2 linked regions of the Tamandua tetradactyla genome follow. The protein of the gene in region 2 interacts with the protein of the main gene of each other region in a biochemical or structural test. Links are inferred from orthologs where the notes say so. Each region holds a gene or a part of one and is shown on either strand. Other genes may lie near its edges.

Region 1 (8,286 bases), on a different chromosome or scaffold from region 2:
GAGCTTCTCTCAATTTCATCTTTTATAGAGGACTCAAGTAAGGGGATTAAGACCCACCTTGAATGGGGTGGGTCACATCTTAATTGAAATAACCTAACCAAAAGGTTCCACTTACAACAGGTCTGTACCCTCAGGAATGGGTTAAAAGAACATGGCTTTTTTCTGGGGTACATAACAGCTCCAAACCACCACAGGAAAGCACTTTTTCTTTCTTTCTTTTGCAAAATCTTACTCTCTTGTTCAAGGAAATTCTGTTTATTATTCAAAGTCCAGTGTCAGCTTCTCTATAAAATTATCCTGGCCCTTCAAGGCAGAAGAGTGAGTATGAGCTCCATGTTCACCCAGTGGGTAATGAGGTCCTGCTCAGTTGCCAGGAGTGGAAATGCTGCTCCTTTTCCCACGTGAATGGCCAGCGCGCTCCTTCCATTTCCCAGTCTTTCGGCCCTAAACTCAACCCCACCATTTTGAAGTCAGCAGATCTCCCCACATTCTCTGATTCCTCCATTTCCCAGTTTCAAGAATTTGGGAGAAGTTGCCCTCTTCGCAGAAAAGACCAAGGAGCATTGCAGACACAGTTGGAGGTCCCCTTCACTCGAAGACAGAAGTGACAACCTTTGAACATGGCAGCATTTTCTGTGAGTGCTTAAGTCAATTCACATTTGTCGCCACACCTACAGAAATAAAACACACCCCAAGCATTTCATCTCTCCAAGGTATGAACCAAATAAGGAAAAGGTCTCTCTTTGCCGGAGATCTGCTTGTTTTATAATTTTGGGAGGACAGGGCCCAGATTGTAAGTGCTTTCCACCAATAAGGAGGTGGGGCTACAGGAGAGGTTGATGGAATCCTATGAAAGAAACCAGATCATTGCAAATAAGAACCCACAATGGAGGAATATATAAACATAGTCTCATCCTATCAGATACCATCTCCTCCTTCCTTCCACATATCAGCCCACTATTTTAAATGGCAACGGGGAGCAATGCAGAGGCTGTGATTCTTACCAAGGTAGATTTACAACTTAAGGAAGTGTGGGGCAGTGAACAAACACATATAACATATTTTCCCCCAATGTCTGGACTCAAACAAACTGCAAGGAGGTACTAAAAATAAATTGATCAGGGAGTGCGGAGTCCAAGCAAAGCTGTTCTTAAGATTTCTGTTTCTTAACAGCCGTCCCATCTTTGCCCACACCGTACAGTGTGTGGCTGCCTCAATACACGTGTGCCATTCCCGCTCAAGGCCCACCCAAAGCCTGACAAGGAGAGGTGTGTTCTTGGAAACCACACTCCCAGCAAAGCATTACAAAGTTGGTCATTTCCTCCGCAGGAGCAGTGTTCTAGTTTGCTAGCTGTCGGCATGCAACACACCAGAGACGGACTGGCTTTTAATAAAAGGGGATTTATTTTGTTAGTTCTTCAAAGGAAAGGCAGCTGACTTTCATCTGAGGTTCTTTCTTACGTGGGAAGGCTCAGGGTAATCTCTGCTGGCCTTCTCTCGAGGCCTCTGGGTTCCAACAACATTCCCTGGTGGTGATTCCTTTCTGCATCTCCAAAGGCCTGGGCTGAGCTGCAAGTGCTAAGATGAGGTATGCCGAGCTGCTTGGGCTGTGCTATGTTGAGCTCTTTCATTTAAGTACCAGCCAATTAAGTCAAACATCATTCATTGCAGCAGGCACGCCTCCTAGCTGACTGCAGATGTAATCAGCAACAGATGAGGTTCACATACCATTGGCTCATGTCCACAGCAACAGAACTAGGTGCCTTCACCTGGCCAAGTTGACAACTGACTCTAACTACCAAAAGCAGCATTCTCATTGGCATAGGAGTTGGGAAAATCTAGATTCTAGAAAATAACCAGTGATACACCAAGTGAGCTACTCCTTATGTAACCATTTCTTCAATCATTTAAAGTTGTTTAATTATATTTATATTCATCTAAAATGGGTATGAATGTACTGTGCCTGAAATACTTCACCAATGGCCAAGAAGAGTCCTGGGGGTATGTATTTTTCTAGTGAGGAGGGAAGTAGAAGGTTGAAATTCAGATTTAAAATAGACAATGCAAACTAGAATATACATTTCCTCTAAATCAGTAGTTCCCAGACTTTTTGGTGTCTGGATCCCTTTATATTCTTAAAAATGATTTATTAGAGGATCTCAAAGAGCTTTTGTTTATGTGGTTACATCTCTTGGCCATTACCGCATAGAAATGAAAACTGAGATTTAAAAAACAATTATTGAGCAGTGCAATGGTGGCTCAGTGGCAGAATTCTCATCTGCCATGCCAGAGACCCAGGTTCGATTCCTGGGGCCTACCCATGCCAAAAAAAAAAAAAAAAAGAAAAAGAAAACAACAACAACAACAACAAACAATTATTAAGTCATCTAAAAGTAATAATAATAAGTCCATCACATGTTAACATAAATATGATTTTGTGACAAATATCTATTACAAAACAAAATAGTGAGAAGAGAGGCAATGTTTTATGTTTTTGCAAATCAGATCCATTCTCATATCTGCTTCTGCATTCAACCTGTTGTGATGTCACATGTCCTGTAGCTTATGGAAATCTCCAATGCTCACTCATGAGAGAATGCGAGAGAAAAAGGCAAATATTGTCTTAGAATTAGTATGAAGCAGTTTTGACCAGAAGGATATTCTGCAAGGTCTCAGGGACCTCCAGGGGTCTCTAGGTCATCCTTTCAGAACCACTCCTCTAGATCGATATGCCAGCTAAAGTAAATATTTAAGCATTTTACATAATAGCATGGCTTGCCTTCTTAGTATGTGTGGTAGGCAGAATTATAAGATGGTTTCCATTTCCTGTCTCCTGTTGTGCAAACCCCTGTGTAATTTCTGGGGCTTGTGAATATGGTGAGGTAGTTGTTCCTTCATTAGATTAGGTATATGCTGCAGCTGACTTAAAGAATTGAAGACTCTCCTGGGTGGATCTGGCCTAATCAGGTGAGCTCTTAAAGCTAGGGACTGGGCTCTTCCTGAAGAAGAGATTGAAGTATGTGTGAGATTTGACACGGGGATTCTTTGTTGCTGGTTCTGAAGATGGAGAGAGCCACATGGCAATGAATGAAGGTGGCTTCCAGATGCTTAGTCCTACAACCACAAAGAAATAAATTTGACCAACTACCTGAATGGTCTTAGAAGTGATGCTTCCCTAGCCCTAGAACCTCCAGAAAGGAATGCAGGCTGGACAGCACCCTGATCCAGCCTGTGAAATCCTGAGCATACAGCCCAGTAATGCCAGGTCAGAACTTCTGACCCATAGAGCCATGAGATAACAAAAAGCCAAAAGCAACTATGCTTTTAGCAAGGAACTTCAAAACATCTCTCACAGAATTGTGGACTCTCCCCAGATTTAAAGAGCTATGAACAGGTCAAAGCAGAGGAGAAGGGAGATGATGGTGTGGAGAGGAACATGGAGCCTCCAAATGAAAATCCAAATATTGACAGCAGCATTCTCCTCAGAAGAGAAAGACCTTTACAATGGGGATCAATCACTATTAAGCTTCTACTACAGTGATCTTTACAGAAACAAGCCTATAGCATAGACCTGTACTATTTGCAGGAACAGGACAAATCTTTGAGAGTGGACCACAGTGTCAACAGATAGGGTGGCACCTTGCCCCAGGAGTAACATCCTCAAGTTAGCTTCTGGCAAAACCAGAAGCAGGTTTTTCCAGGTGGCTTTAACCCCAGGCTCTCAGAAAGAAGGTCCTAAGGAAGTTTGTCCTCCAAACTCACAGAGCCCATTGGCCACAAGCTTCCATGCACGAAGCATATACTTTCTCCATTTTGGTCGAGAAGGAAACATCAGGAGTGATGAGTGGCAATGTCCCTAGCCTGCTTTCCCTAGGCAGTCTGACCTTGTGTTCCTGATATCACAGTGGCCCTGACATTTCATAATAACGCATGCATGCCCTTTCGGTTGTTTGGCCTTTTGTGGTGATGAGTTTCCCAGGTAAGCTTTGGCATCCCACTTATTGAGGGTGGACAGGGCATCTCATCAGTTCATAAATCCTTGGCTAGAGTGTGTCCATCAACAGGGAATACACTCGGGGCGTCCTTGGAAAGGCTGTATCATCCCACCCACTTCCATGTTCAATGGGTTCTCAATGTTTCATGGCTATTCAGGTAGGACTATCACACACCTATGAAAGTGCAGGAGATTGGTTTGTGCTCCAAGCCTCCCAGTGGAGGACACTGTCTTGGGGAGAGGAATCCATGCATGGACCTGCAGCCGGCTCCTCTCTTTGTACTTTTGCATCTGCACAGAGCATATGTTTCCGTTCTTTTTTTCTGAGGAAATCTCCAAGTAGAGGCAATTCACAAGGTTCACCCAAAGGAAGAAAGATGCTTTGGGTACAAGGGTTTGAGTGGGTCTTGAAACTGGCCCAGGGGCATTGAGCACAGGTCTCCAAAGGTGACTTCTGAGAGTGGAAATGTCCCAAACGTTCCTCCCATACCCTAAACCTATCTTGGCTGAGTTTAGCCACCCAGAAAGCAGGGGGCTAACGCAGGGTGTTTTGTCATTTATTCGGGCTGCTAAGTTAAAAGTGGTGGTGGTGGTGGTGGGGACGCTCCTGTTTCATCAGCCTAGGGGTTGTCAGGAAACTGGGGTTTTTGTGACGGAGGCCCGGGTAATGGGGACCAGTAGATGAATGGTGTCAGGGCCGCGCCGAGGGGCGGCCCCGGCGGGACGAGGGCGGAGCGGGCGGCGTTGCGCTGACGGCCGCGGCAGAAAGGGGGCGGCCGCGCCCATTTCCACCGCTGCGCTCCGCCTCGGCCCGAGGGCTCCGCGGCGGCGAGCGGCGCCTCCCGGACGGTGGCACGGAGGCTCGGCCCAGCCTGCCGCGGCCGCGACCCCCTCGAGGCGCTGTAGAGCCCACCGCGAGGTTCGGGTTCGGCCGCAGCGCCCCGCACCTCCGCCCACATGGAAACGGCGTTGAAGCGGAGCCGCTCCGAGGAGCCGGCGGAGCTATCTCCGCCTGCCCGGGACGTGGAAAAGGAGGAGGAGGAGGAGGAAGAGGGGATGGAGCAGGGGCTGGAGGAGGAGGAAGAGGTGGACCCCCGGATCCAGGTACGGCGCGCGGGGGTCCCCTGGGATCTCCTCTCCGCAAGGGCTGCCGCGGAGGTCGGCGTCTACACCTCCACTCCGAGGATCCGCACGCAGCCCCTAGTGTCCGCGGTCGGCGGGGTCGCAGTCGCGTAGATCCTAGGGCTGCAAGAGGGGGTGTGAATACACCGTTTTCAAGCGCCCCCGCCTCTCCGGGGGGGCTGCAGTGCCCGCGTGGATGCGGCCTGACTACGTCGCGAGGGCCCCCCCCCCCCCTTTCCCCGCAAACTCTCGGCGGGATCTTGGGGGTTCGGGCGATGGGCAACAAAGGGAAAAAGGGACAGAGGAGCCATTGCCCTTTCCGGGGTACCCCCCGCGTCAGGCTCCCGGCGCCGCGGGTATCGCGCAGGCGACGGCAGAAGGGATTGCCCGGCCCGCGTGGGCTCTGGGGGCGGGCCCGGGAGCTCGACTGGGTGGGCGTTGCCCGCCCCTGCAGCGTGGGCTGGCGCCGGTGCCATGGGTTCGCAGCCCCCACCTGGCCGAAGTCACCGGCCAGAGTCGCCTCTCTCCTCCTTTGAGTCATTGTCAAGAAACGGGGGGCGGGGTAGTGTCCCCGCTGGTTCAACCCTCCGCTTGGCCTGAAATGGTTTCAAGCCCTGGTTTTCCTTGTTGTGAGGTCGGTTGTGAACAGAAATCAGGAACAAGTGATGCGCAGTGCTGACGCGTGCAGGCGGTGAGGGGGTTGGCCTGCCTTTCTATGCCTCCATTTCCAAGAGGGATGATTAAAAAACACTTTACAAGCCGACATCTATGAATGACAACTTAACCTCTGCACCCGCTAAGCAGAAACACAGCAAATCCCCCTTTCCAAGATCCGTTTTACTCTCCCCTTTCCATAAATCTTTTCTTTTTTATTTTTTTAAATATATATATTGCTAAAAAGCATGCTGTGCAGTTTTTGGAGCCCTAATTGATTTTTCAGCGCACAGATCAATTAAAAGCTCATTGAACTCAGTGGTTGGGGTTTAAATGAATTGTTTTTCGGCCGTTTAGCAAGATAAAGATCAGGTGGAAAAAGCCTTGAATTAGGAATGATTCGATTAATTCAAATCATCAGTTTGGGTTGCTATAGCTTCTGTTCTTGCTGGGAAATCCTGTTATCGAGATCCTTTGTTTGCAGAGCAGAGCAAAGATGAGTTAAGTTCGTGCTCCTTACTTTTTTTTTTTTTACAAATGTTAGATTGCAAATATTAATTTAAAGGATTGGGATTAAAACTAGTTAACTAGAGGTAGGTAGGTTGAATAATTGGCAGTTTAGAAAAAAAAGGGAATTTCATCTCTTTACCAAAAAATAATCAACCACAGATGACATGCCAGCTGTCTGTCCAGATTTAAATGATTTCACTGGGTTTAATATCCTTTTGGCTTGGCCAGGTTTTAAAACAAAATTTTTTAAATGCTTATTTCTTCCCTCTATGGCAGAAGGTACTGTTTTGATTCTGCCACTGAACTGCTTATAACAGGTGAGTTTACCTGAAGGCACCCACCTGAAATGGATATTTGACCTTATAGGAAAAGACAGATAATTCCTAGGCCCTTAAGCCATTTTTAAAAAGGATATCATCAAGAAAAAAACTTCAGAAATGGGACACTCATTTGCTTTTCCAGACAAGGCCCCCCTTTTTCCCTTGAGAATGAATACCACCTTTCCCCTCTTCCACAAAATTGTGCCGGGATCATTGTTTTCAGGTTATGGGCTGAGTTATTTTGGAAACAAAAGACCGATGCCTCAAATCTTTTTTCTCCCCCTTTCCTTCCTTCACTAGGGAGAACTGGAGAAGTTAAATCAATCCACGGATGATATCAACAGACGAGAGACTGAACTTGAGGTACAGAAAGCTGGGTCCCTTTTCTGGGTGTCGTGGTGTCAGTTACGCTGACAGTTCATTTTGCTGTAATAGCTGGAGGGTTATTTTGGAGGCCCTTCCTTGGGAATGGAGCCCGGTCTGTGGGCTGAAAGCCTGTGGATCCAATTTCACATGTTTTTCATTATGGAAGCTCCACCGGGCCCAAACCAATGGCTGTGTGAAGCACCGGACATGCTTAAGCCCCCAAATTTAATGTGTCTCTGGAAAAGTTGAAGAGACTGAGGGGAAAATGAGCTGAACTCTTTCATGTAGAGTAATGAATGAGCTCACAAAATCTCTTAAATGTTTAGGGGCTGTTCCTTCCATTTGTACTTGGAGCTGTTTGGTGTTTCCTCAGACTTACACCATGTTTTGACTTTTCTACCCTAATAATTCACCCCCCACTTCTACTTTCCTGCTCATTTCTTTATCCTCTCCTTGTGTATAGAATATAATTATCTTAGTGGTTTAAAAAAAAAAGTTGTTTAGACTGGGAAGGGCTTTCCTGCTGGGAAAAATCTCAGGGGAGGCAGCCTTGATTTGAATTTCATGAGCGTTTTCTGACCTGAGTGTAAACAGAGTAGCATTCTTAACAGCTGCCAATTAGTCCCCACCCCTGTTGGGTAATGGTGGATTCTACCCTCCTTCAGCAAACCTGAACGACCTCTGTGCATCTACGAGCGGGAGCTCTTGGGATGCTGGGAGCCACCCGGAGAACCCGTTTTTGTAGCAGTAGCAGGAGAAATAGCAACAGAGTTCCCACAGAAAGGACAGGAAACATCTGGGCTTGTCACCAGTCCTTAAGAGTGAGGGTCCAGGAGAACCTAGCCACGTGCCATCAGATGTGGTAGCGTGTGCTACGTGGAACTATTTGAATTTACATTTAAATAGATTGAAATTCAATAAGATTAAAAATTTAGTTCCTCAGTCACAATAGCCAAGATTGCCTAGCACAGAGAACACTTCCATCGTCATCGAAAGTTCTGTGCGGTGCGGGCCTGGACGGTTGGGGAAGGCAGGGACTACCTCTTGCTCAGTATCCAATAGTTAAGTGATGGGGCTGAGCTGGGTCTCAGCTGGGTCTCCCATCCTACACCCAGGCATTGCCCACATCCCCCTCCAGCTGTTATGTTTTAACATCCCAAATGAGTAGACAAGTTGGAAGTAGTTTCCCCCTCCCCCCCCCTTTGTAAAGTGTTGGTTTAGTCATTCAATAAATCTTTGCACGCCGGAGTGCTGTAGTGAGCATGTCAGTCTTCGTGGCGCTTACATTCTGAGGGTAAAATTGTTTTGTCTGTTTTTCAG
Region 2 (8,194 bases):
AAGTACAGTTGGCAGTTCACAGGACTGATCATCCTTATCAGCCTGAAGGAATTTTGAAAGGAAAATTCTCCAGAACCCTGACTTCTCTTGCTATCCCCCAACACACACCCGCCCCCTTTTTTTTAAACCACTATTTCCTCCCTTGCGGAATGTTCCTAAAAGATGCAAAGGGGTCTGTGCTAATTAGTCTTTGATGATAGCCATTGGAAATGGCAAGTGCTGAGGTATATGGCATCACACATCATACTTCACCAAAGACTCCACTGGGAGTCCACAGAAAGAGCAAGGGCTATGGAATCACATATGGATGGTGCTGAGCAAGTCACTTAACTTCTCTGAGTCTCAGTTTCTTCATGTTTGTTGTGAGGAATAAATGAGATAATGCATGCAAAATGCCTTACAGGTAGACTGCACTGAGAGAAACAGTACAGTAGTTCCTTTCCATTCCGCTGAGGAGAGAAAGGGAATAGCCAGAGTCTTGCTACTCAAGTAAGCAGTATTTTAAAGAAGAGGAAATACTGCCTCTTGGATACTCTGGTTAGATAGTTATCAATTGAACTACTACTGGCTGGTTACTTCTTTTTTTTTTTCTTGGGAAGTTTTTAAATTTTTTATGACAAAAACTTCTCACAACATACAAATATTTACAACATGTACATTACTTTCAGTTCTTCACACTGAATTTCAAGGTTAAACATTTTTATAGATTACCACATAACAAAAGCTATGATTCTTGTTTTTATTTCATTAACTATTATAAGTTAAAGTGAATAGAATTTTAAATATTCCTTGTAGCATTTTACAAGTGCAACAGAAAACTTACAGAACCAAATTAAGATAGTTATAGTTCATCAGATAAATATTGCATATTGTCATCACATTATTAACAATAATTTTTGAAAAAATAAGCACCAACCATTCTTTCAAAGAACACATTTTTAAAAATTTTTTATTTGAGAAATCGTCACACACATACATTCTATACATGGTATGCAATCAATGGCTCACAATAACATCACATAGTTGTGTATTCATCACCATGATTATTTTTTAGAACATTTGCATCACTCCAGAAAAAGAAAGAAAAAAGAAGAAACTCATACATACCATACACCTTACCCCTCCCTCTCATTGACCACTAATGTTTCCATCTACCCAATTTATTTTAACATTTGTCCCCCCTATTATTTATTTATTTTATATCCATACTTTTTACTCAACTGTCCATTCTGGGGATATAAGAAACACCGGACGTAAGTTTCTCACAATCACACAGTCACATTGTAAATGTTATATCTTTATACAATTGTCTTCAAGAATCTAAGCTGCTGGAACACAGCTCAGCAGTTTCAGCTACTTCCCTCTAGCCACTCCAATACACCAAAAACTAAAAGGGGTATCTCTATAATGCATATGAATAACCTCCAGGATAACCTCTTGACTCTGCTTGAAATCTCTCAGCCAACAAAACATTGTTTTGTCTCATTTCTCTCTTCCCCCTTTTGGTGAAGAAGACTTTCTTAGTCTCTTGATGCTGGGTCCCGGCTTATCCCAGGCTTTCTGTCCCACATTGCCAGGGATATTTACACCCCTGGAAGTCATGTCCCATGGAGGAGGGAGGGCAGTGAGTTCACCTGCTGAGTTGGCTTAGAGAGAGAGGCTACATGAGAGCCACAAAAGAGGTTCTTTGGGGATGACTCTTAGGCCTAATTTTAAGTAGGCCTAGCCTATCCTTTGTAGCAATGTTTCATAGGGGTGAACCCCAAGATCAAGGGCTCAGCCTGTTGATTTGGTTGTTCCCACTGTTTACAAGAATATCAGAAATTCTCCAAATGGTGAGGTTAAATATTTCCTCCTTTCTCCCATTCTCCCAAGGGAACTTTTGCAAAGAACAATTTTATTTAAAAGGATTGAAAAATATTAAATACAAGGCCTTTAATTTATATGACAAGCCATAAATACACTGTATGAAAACATCCTGCATACTGTTACCCTTGTATATATACTGTACTGAACAATGACCCACCACACATGTAATTGTACTTTTTTCTTTTAAGAAACCAATTTGACTCCTACCAATGGCTTGCTACTTTACTGAAGGCCACAGTGGTCTCATTCCAATCATAGGCAGGCTGTATAGTTTTGTAGATTTTGCTTTGGTGTTGTCTTTAATAGTGTTTTATCTTAACACGAGCAAATGTAGGAGCCAGTTTAGTTGACTGATTCTGCAAGTGCTATTTATATTAATTCTTTGGCATAGTGCAGTTGATTTGATGGCTGAACCCTTTCTAATAAGCATCTTCTTTCTGAATTCTGTTGCTCTATAGGGAGCTAGAAGCTGCAAAAGGTGATCATGTGAAAATCCTTGTATTGTAGTTCAACAAAGAGAATATTATAACACTGGAACTCTGTATTTTAATTAAAGAGCTCTGTGTCTGTCTATAATTTTCCCTTCCCCTCTTTCTTTCTCCATATGAACATGGTCTGTATGTTTGCGTGTGCATCTGTGTGTATAATGTTCACATCACTTCTGTTTTCCACCCTTACTCCCTAAGTGAGGCACAGGGCCAGTCCTGTCTATGCATCTCTTGTGGTCGAGTTGGATCTGTAGGCTGCTGAAATTGTTAGAAAAAATTGGGGAGTTCCACAATAAGTATCTTAAGAAGCCACAACTATCTCTAACTCAGAGCTGTCCATTACATGTTAACCGTGGGGAAGACATAAAGATGGATGCCTCTCCTTTCACATTCTTGGTGAAACGACCAGTGGTGACTAAGAAAGAACTACCATATTTCCAGGCTACATGTGTCTAGACTGGTTCATAAAGAATAAGGAAAAAGTAAAAAAAAAGAAGGGGGGGATAGGGAGGGGTGTGTGTGGGTGGGATACCAGGTCCTTGAAATCCTATTGAACAGCATGATGTAGAGGTGGAAGCCATTTCATCCATTGCTCAGTAAGGCGATGGCTAATGAGAGGTTTACTTCCTCAGACCCTACCCCAACACAGACACTTGGAAAAGATGAAGGCTTCCTTTTGTACAAACTGGATTTGTTCTAAAAAGAGAAAGAGCAGAGGCAGTTTCCAGCAGGATGTGTCTTGTAGAAATAAGAGCAGAGACCAAGACCAAAGCAGATGCTGGATCTGAGCAGGGAGTTTGCAACAAAACTAAAGGTAACAAGCTACGTGTGCTTTACTAAAAGAAAACACAACTGGATGTGGTTTCTGATTCTGTTTACTGATCAGGCTACTCAATTCCTTTAGGGCTTTATTTTATCTTCTGTAATTTGAGTTTTTTATTTTGAAAGGGTACTTTTTTGAAATTTGTCATGGAAGCAAATGTGATTTTACAACAGGGATCTCAATGAGTTGGCAGCTCCTGAGAATAGAGTGTAATTATTGGTTTTGCCATTACTTCTATGTAAATGAATAGTTCTAATGTTAAAAGGAAGTTCTTTGGAGTTTCAGCTGAATCTGAATGTTAGAAAGGACTCTGATTGGTTGGAAACAATATCAATATGTCATTTCAATCAAAGGCCAGGGAATCAGGGAAGAGAGGTGTTGGTCAGGGAATGGGGAAAGTTTTGCTCCCTTGTGCAATTTTTCTGAAAATATGATTTGCAAAATATTGAACTAATCCACAACCATAAGATAAAGGAGGGTAAGTGGCAAAGCAAACATTCTGAACATTCCTGGTGTTTCTTTAATCATTTTGTCTCCTCAGTATGATCGTAGAACCTTCTACACCTTAGAAAAAAGCAGAATAATGAAAAAAAAAAGAGTAAAATAATGGCACATATTGCTTTGAACTTTGAAAATAACCACTTTGCTTGACAGTAGAGAAAAATTGCCAATTTTATTTTGTTTCCATAGTGCCACCAAAAGCACAAGGAGTTTGGTTCAAATAATAATAATAAGCCTCACCCCTCCATAGGAAAAATTATCCACCTCTAGCAAAATTTGGATGGGAAGAGGGACTGGTGATTTTTCAGTACTTATTGGTGCTCTATTTTTTGTGATAATATTTAAGCTTTCACTTTGTCTTTCTAATGAAAGTTTGGAATTAGTAATATAAGATTGTGCATTAACTTAAAGTGAACAATTGATACAAAGTTTTGTTTTGTGTAAATAAAAAAAGTTTTGATGTCAAACAAAAAAGTTTGATGACTTTCTTTGCCTTTCTGTATTTCAGTTACTTAAACTGAAACTTTCTGTAATATTGTAAGTTTGGAGAAGGCTAAACAAGGACTTATTCTTCATAAATGATCAGAGACAGCAGTAAGATAGTTGCAATACCTTTGCGTGATGTTGTCTAAAAGAACTAATCAAAGCAAAAAGAAAAAAAAGCCAAAGGTCAAGAACAGAAACAACCATATCCCCACTGAATTTTTTTTTCAACTTTAGAGCAAAGCTTCCATCCTTTGTAGCTCAGTAGGTGATGGGCAAAATCAGTTGGGTGGCAGGTAGTGTTTGTCCATAACTACAGGTGCAGCCTCCTTATCCTTATTAGACCTCTTGGTTACAGACTCTTAATAGGACACAATTTGAAAAATTAAATTCACTGTCTAGGAAACTGGGAACTGAGGCTTCAATATCTCCCTCCGTGAAGTTCTGGCACTTACATTATCCCTTCTGGGATTTTTAGGGTCAACAGTTACACAGACTTTTGCTGTTCACAGATCTTCTTCCATGTACCATAAGAGTGATTAGCGTAAAGTTGTCTCTGGACATTGCCAAGGACACAGGTACATGCCACTTGACATCCAGAGCAATTCATTGCCTTACATGAAGACACAATGTAGGACCAAACTCCCCAATTCAATATCCATTAAACGCAAAAACTGACAGAGCTGTTGACTATGAAAGGAGGATACCAAGGTAGGGTTTTCATGGTCTGTTTCATTCAAAACCAGGGTTAAACTGAGGTAGGGGTGAGGATTGATGTACTGGATCCTCAGAAACTGTTATTATCAACAGCACACAAGTGAGCTCCAGAAAGAAGCTATGGCTGCAGTGATCCTGGAGAGCATCTTTCTCAAGAGATCTCAGCAGAAAAAGAAAACATCACCTTTAAATTTCAAGAAGCGTCTCTTTCTCTTGACCGTGCACAAACTTTCCTACTATGAGTATGACTTTGAACGTGGGGTAAGTTTTTCTGCTGTGAAACCTGAATTTCAAGGGGTTGGTCTTAGAAATTCCTTAGGGAGGAGGTAGTAAGAGCAAGGTAAAATGGACCTAAGTACAATTAAACTTAGCAAAACTCAAGAGAAGTCATGATTAAAGGCGGTGGGGGATGGATCTTAACATGGAATCTTGTAATTGGTGAGCATTCATTAAATGATTGTTGAGAATGGAATCCAAGAGTTGGAAATTGCTTCCTTATTTCTTATGATAAGGCACACACATCCACTCTTCTATAGTGTTTGTCCTCCATCTGGTTGTCAAAATGGGTTAGATTAATACTTTCAAGATGACAGGTCCTGATATAGAGTGTGGGTGTCACCTCACTATGTAGAATGATTAGATAACAAAATCTAATCATCTGGTTGCCCAATCACCCTTAATCTCTTTCTCCATTTTCTTCCACATTCTCTTTCTCAGAGAAGAGGCAGTAAAAAGGGTTCAATAGATGTAGAGAAGATCACCTGCGTTGAAACAGTGGTTCCTGAAAAAAATCCGCCCCCTGAAAGACAGATTCTGGTAAGAAGAGATGATTGTTTGACATAGAGAAAGAGAGAGCGTGAGATTTTAAGAAATTTGGAACATTTAGATTTTCTGTAAGTAATCTAGTGGTGCTGTGAAACACAGTAAAATGCCCTTACAAAGTTCTTCACTCTACCACATATTGATTATACTCTCAGCATCTTTCCCCCAGATATTTAGATCTAGATCATTTAACCTAGAAAACTTCTAACTTCCTGTTTCAAAATGCTGTTATATCTAGTTTTCAACCTGGCCAGAGATAACAGTTACTGGGCTCAGAATCAGAGGTTTGAGATAGTCTGAATGCAAGAATCCTAAGGCTCTGAGTAATAGGAGATGCACTGATATCTTACTGTTTATTCTCCCCTTGTTTCCCAGAATCTTTCTGGTGCATAACACCCAGTGACTGCTAAGTTGAGTTTTTTATTTTTTCATATTTTTATTGATAAATCTTCACATACGTACATTCCATATATGGTGAAAAATCAGTGGCACACAGTCTCATCACATAGTTGTGTATTCATCACCACGATCATTTTTTAGAACATTTGCATCACTCCAAAAAAAGAAATTACAAGAAAAAAGAAAAAACTCATACATACTATACCTCTTACTCTCCCTCCAATTTGTTTTTAACATATCACTTCTTTCCAGATTATAACAGTAGTGTATGTTTATTAAGAAAATCTGAAAACTATTTTAAAATGATAAAAAAGTAAATACAGTCATTTATAATATTATCACCCAGCTAAAACAGTTATATCTATACAGACTTACAAAATGTTTCTCTCTAACAACCATGTATACACAAACTCAATTTACACATACATTCAGTTTCATATATATGATAAATATTTAAACATAAAATTGCCTTTGTAATTTACTTTCTCAATTTAACAATATATGGTAACTGTTTTCCCGTGACATTAATTATCTTTAATAACATGATTTTAATGACTGCATTGTATTCCCTATTATAGATATATAATAATTTGATTATCTAATCTCCTGTTACTACACATTTAGGTTGTTTCCAATGATTTGATATTATAAACTATGTTGAGAGAAGTATCCTTGCAAACATTTTTGGTTGCTATTCTTATAATAGAATCCTAGAAGAGAAATTTTCTTTTTCTTTTTTTGTGAAATTGGCACACTTGGTTATTTTTATGTCTTTATTCTATTTTATTTCCTGGAAGTGGAATTTGAATTTCATGCAGTTCTACTAGCTGTGTATAAGAACTCTTATTTTTCTACATTCTTTCCAATACTTGGTATTATAATTTATTTTAAACGTTAGTCAGTTTGACAGCCAGAAGAAATAATATTTCATTGCTGATCTATCCTGCAATTTTTTTAACTTTTTTTATTAAAAAAAATTAACAAACAAAACATTTAGATATCATTCCATTCTACATATACAATCAGTAATTCTTAATATCATCACATAGTTGCATATTCATCATTTCTTAGTACATTTGCATCGATTTAGAAAAAGAAATAAAAAGACAACAGAAAAAGAAATAAAATGATAAGCAAAAAAAAAGACTATACATACCATACCCCTTACCCCTCGCTTTCATTTACCACTATTTCAAGCTGAATTTATTTTAACATTTGTTCCCCCTATTATTTATTTTTATTCCATATGTTCTACTCTTCTGTTGATATAGTAGCTAAAGGGAGCATCAGACATAAGGTTTTCACATTCACAGAGTCTCATTGTGAAAGCTATATCATTGTTCAATCATCATCAAGAAAAATGGCTACTGGAACACAGCACTACATTTTCAGGCAATTCCCTCCAGCCTCTTCACTACATCTTGAACAACAAGGTGATATCTACTTAATGCATAAGAATAACCTCCAGGATAACCTCTTGACTCTGCTTGGAGTCTCTCAGCCATTGACACTTTGTCTCATTTTACTCTTCCCCCTTTTGGTCGAGAAGGTTCTCTCAATCCCTTGATGTTAATTATCAGCTCATTCTACGGTTTTTCTCAGTCCCTTAATGCTGAGTCTCAGCTTATTCCAGGATCTCTGTCCCACGTTGCCAGGTATCCTGCAATTTTATACTACTAGTAAGGTTCAACAATTATTTATATGTCTACTGCTTATTTACATATTTTCATTTGTGAATTACCTCTTAATGTTTTGCCCATTTTTCTATTAAGATGTTTACCTTATTCTTGATAATTTTAAGAGATCCTGACATATTAAGAATATTAATTCTTTAACTACAATATATGTTGAAAATATTTTTCCAGTTTTTCCTGTATGATTGATTTTGTTTATGGTTTTTTTTTGCTATATTGGGTTTTAAGGTCTATGTCATCACATTAGTTGATCTTTTTCTTAATAGTTTTAACCTTTAGCATTATATTAGAAAGGCTTTACCTCCAACAAGATTATATAGTCATTTATGTTTTTCTCAGTCTTTCATAGGTTCATTTTTTATGTTAAGCTCTTTGAGCTATCTAGACTTTACTTTAGT

What was found. The genes of interacting proteins can lie anywhere in the genome.
Region 1: the proteins of BTK (region 2) and SH3BP5 form a complex in vitro, tested with the Homo sapiens proteins (2 studies listed by BioGRID, with this or other methods). The link is inferred for Tamandua tetradactyla from reciprocal best matches to the Homo sapiens genes BTK and SH3BP5.

The regions. Positions count from the first base shown.
Region 1 is NC_135341.1:73,336,377-73,344,662, forward strand, and holds the start of SH3BP5 (SH3 domain-binding protein 5), read left to right. Parts: upstream 1-4,812; 5' UTR 4,813-4,951; coding exon 4,952-5,098; intron 5,099-6,900; coding exon 6,901-6,963; intron 6,964-8,286. UniProt on the Homo sapiens protein: Functions as a guanine nucleotide exchange factor (GEF) with specificity for RAB11A and RAB25. Inhibits the auto- and transphosphorylation activity of BTK. Plays a negative regulatory role in BTK-related cytoplasmic signaling in B-cells.
Region 2 is NC_135353.1:72,131,598-72,139,791, forward strand, and holds the start of BTK (tyrosine-protein kinase BTK), read left to right. Parts: upstream 1-4,977; 5' UTR 4,978-5,001; coding exon 5,002-5,142; intron 5,143-5,598; coding exon 5,599-5,697; intron 5,698-8,194. UniProt on the Homo sapiens protein: Non-receptor tyrosine kinase indispensable for B lymphocyte development, differentiation and signaling. Binding of antigen to the B-cell antigen receptor (BCR) triggers signaling that ultimately leads to B-cell activation.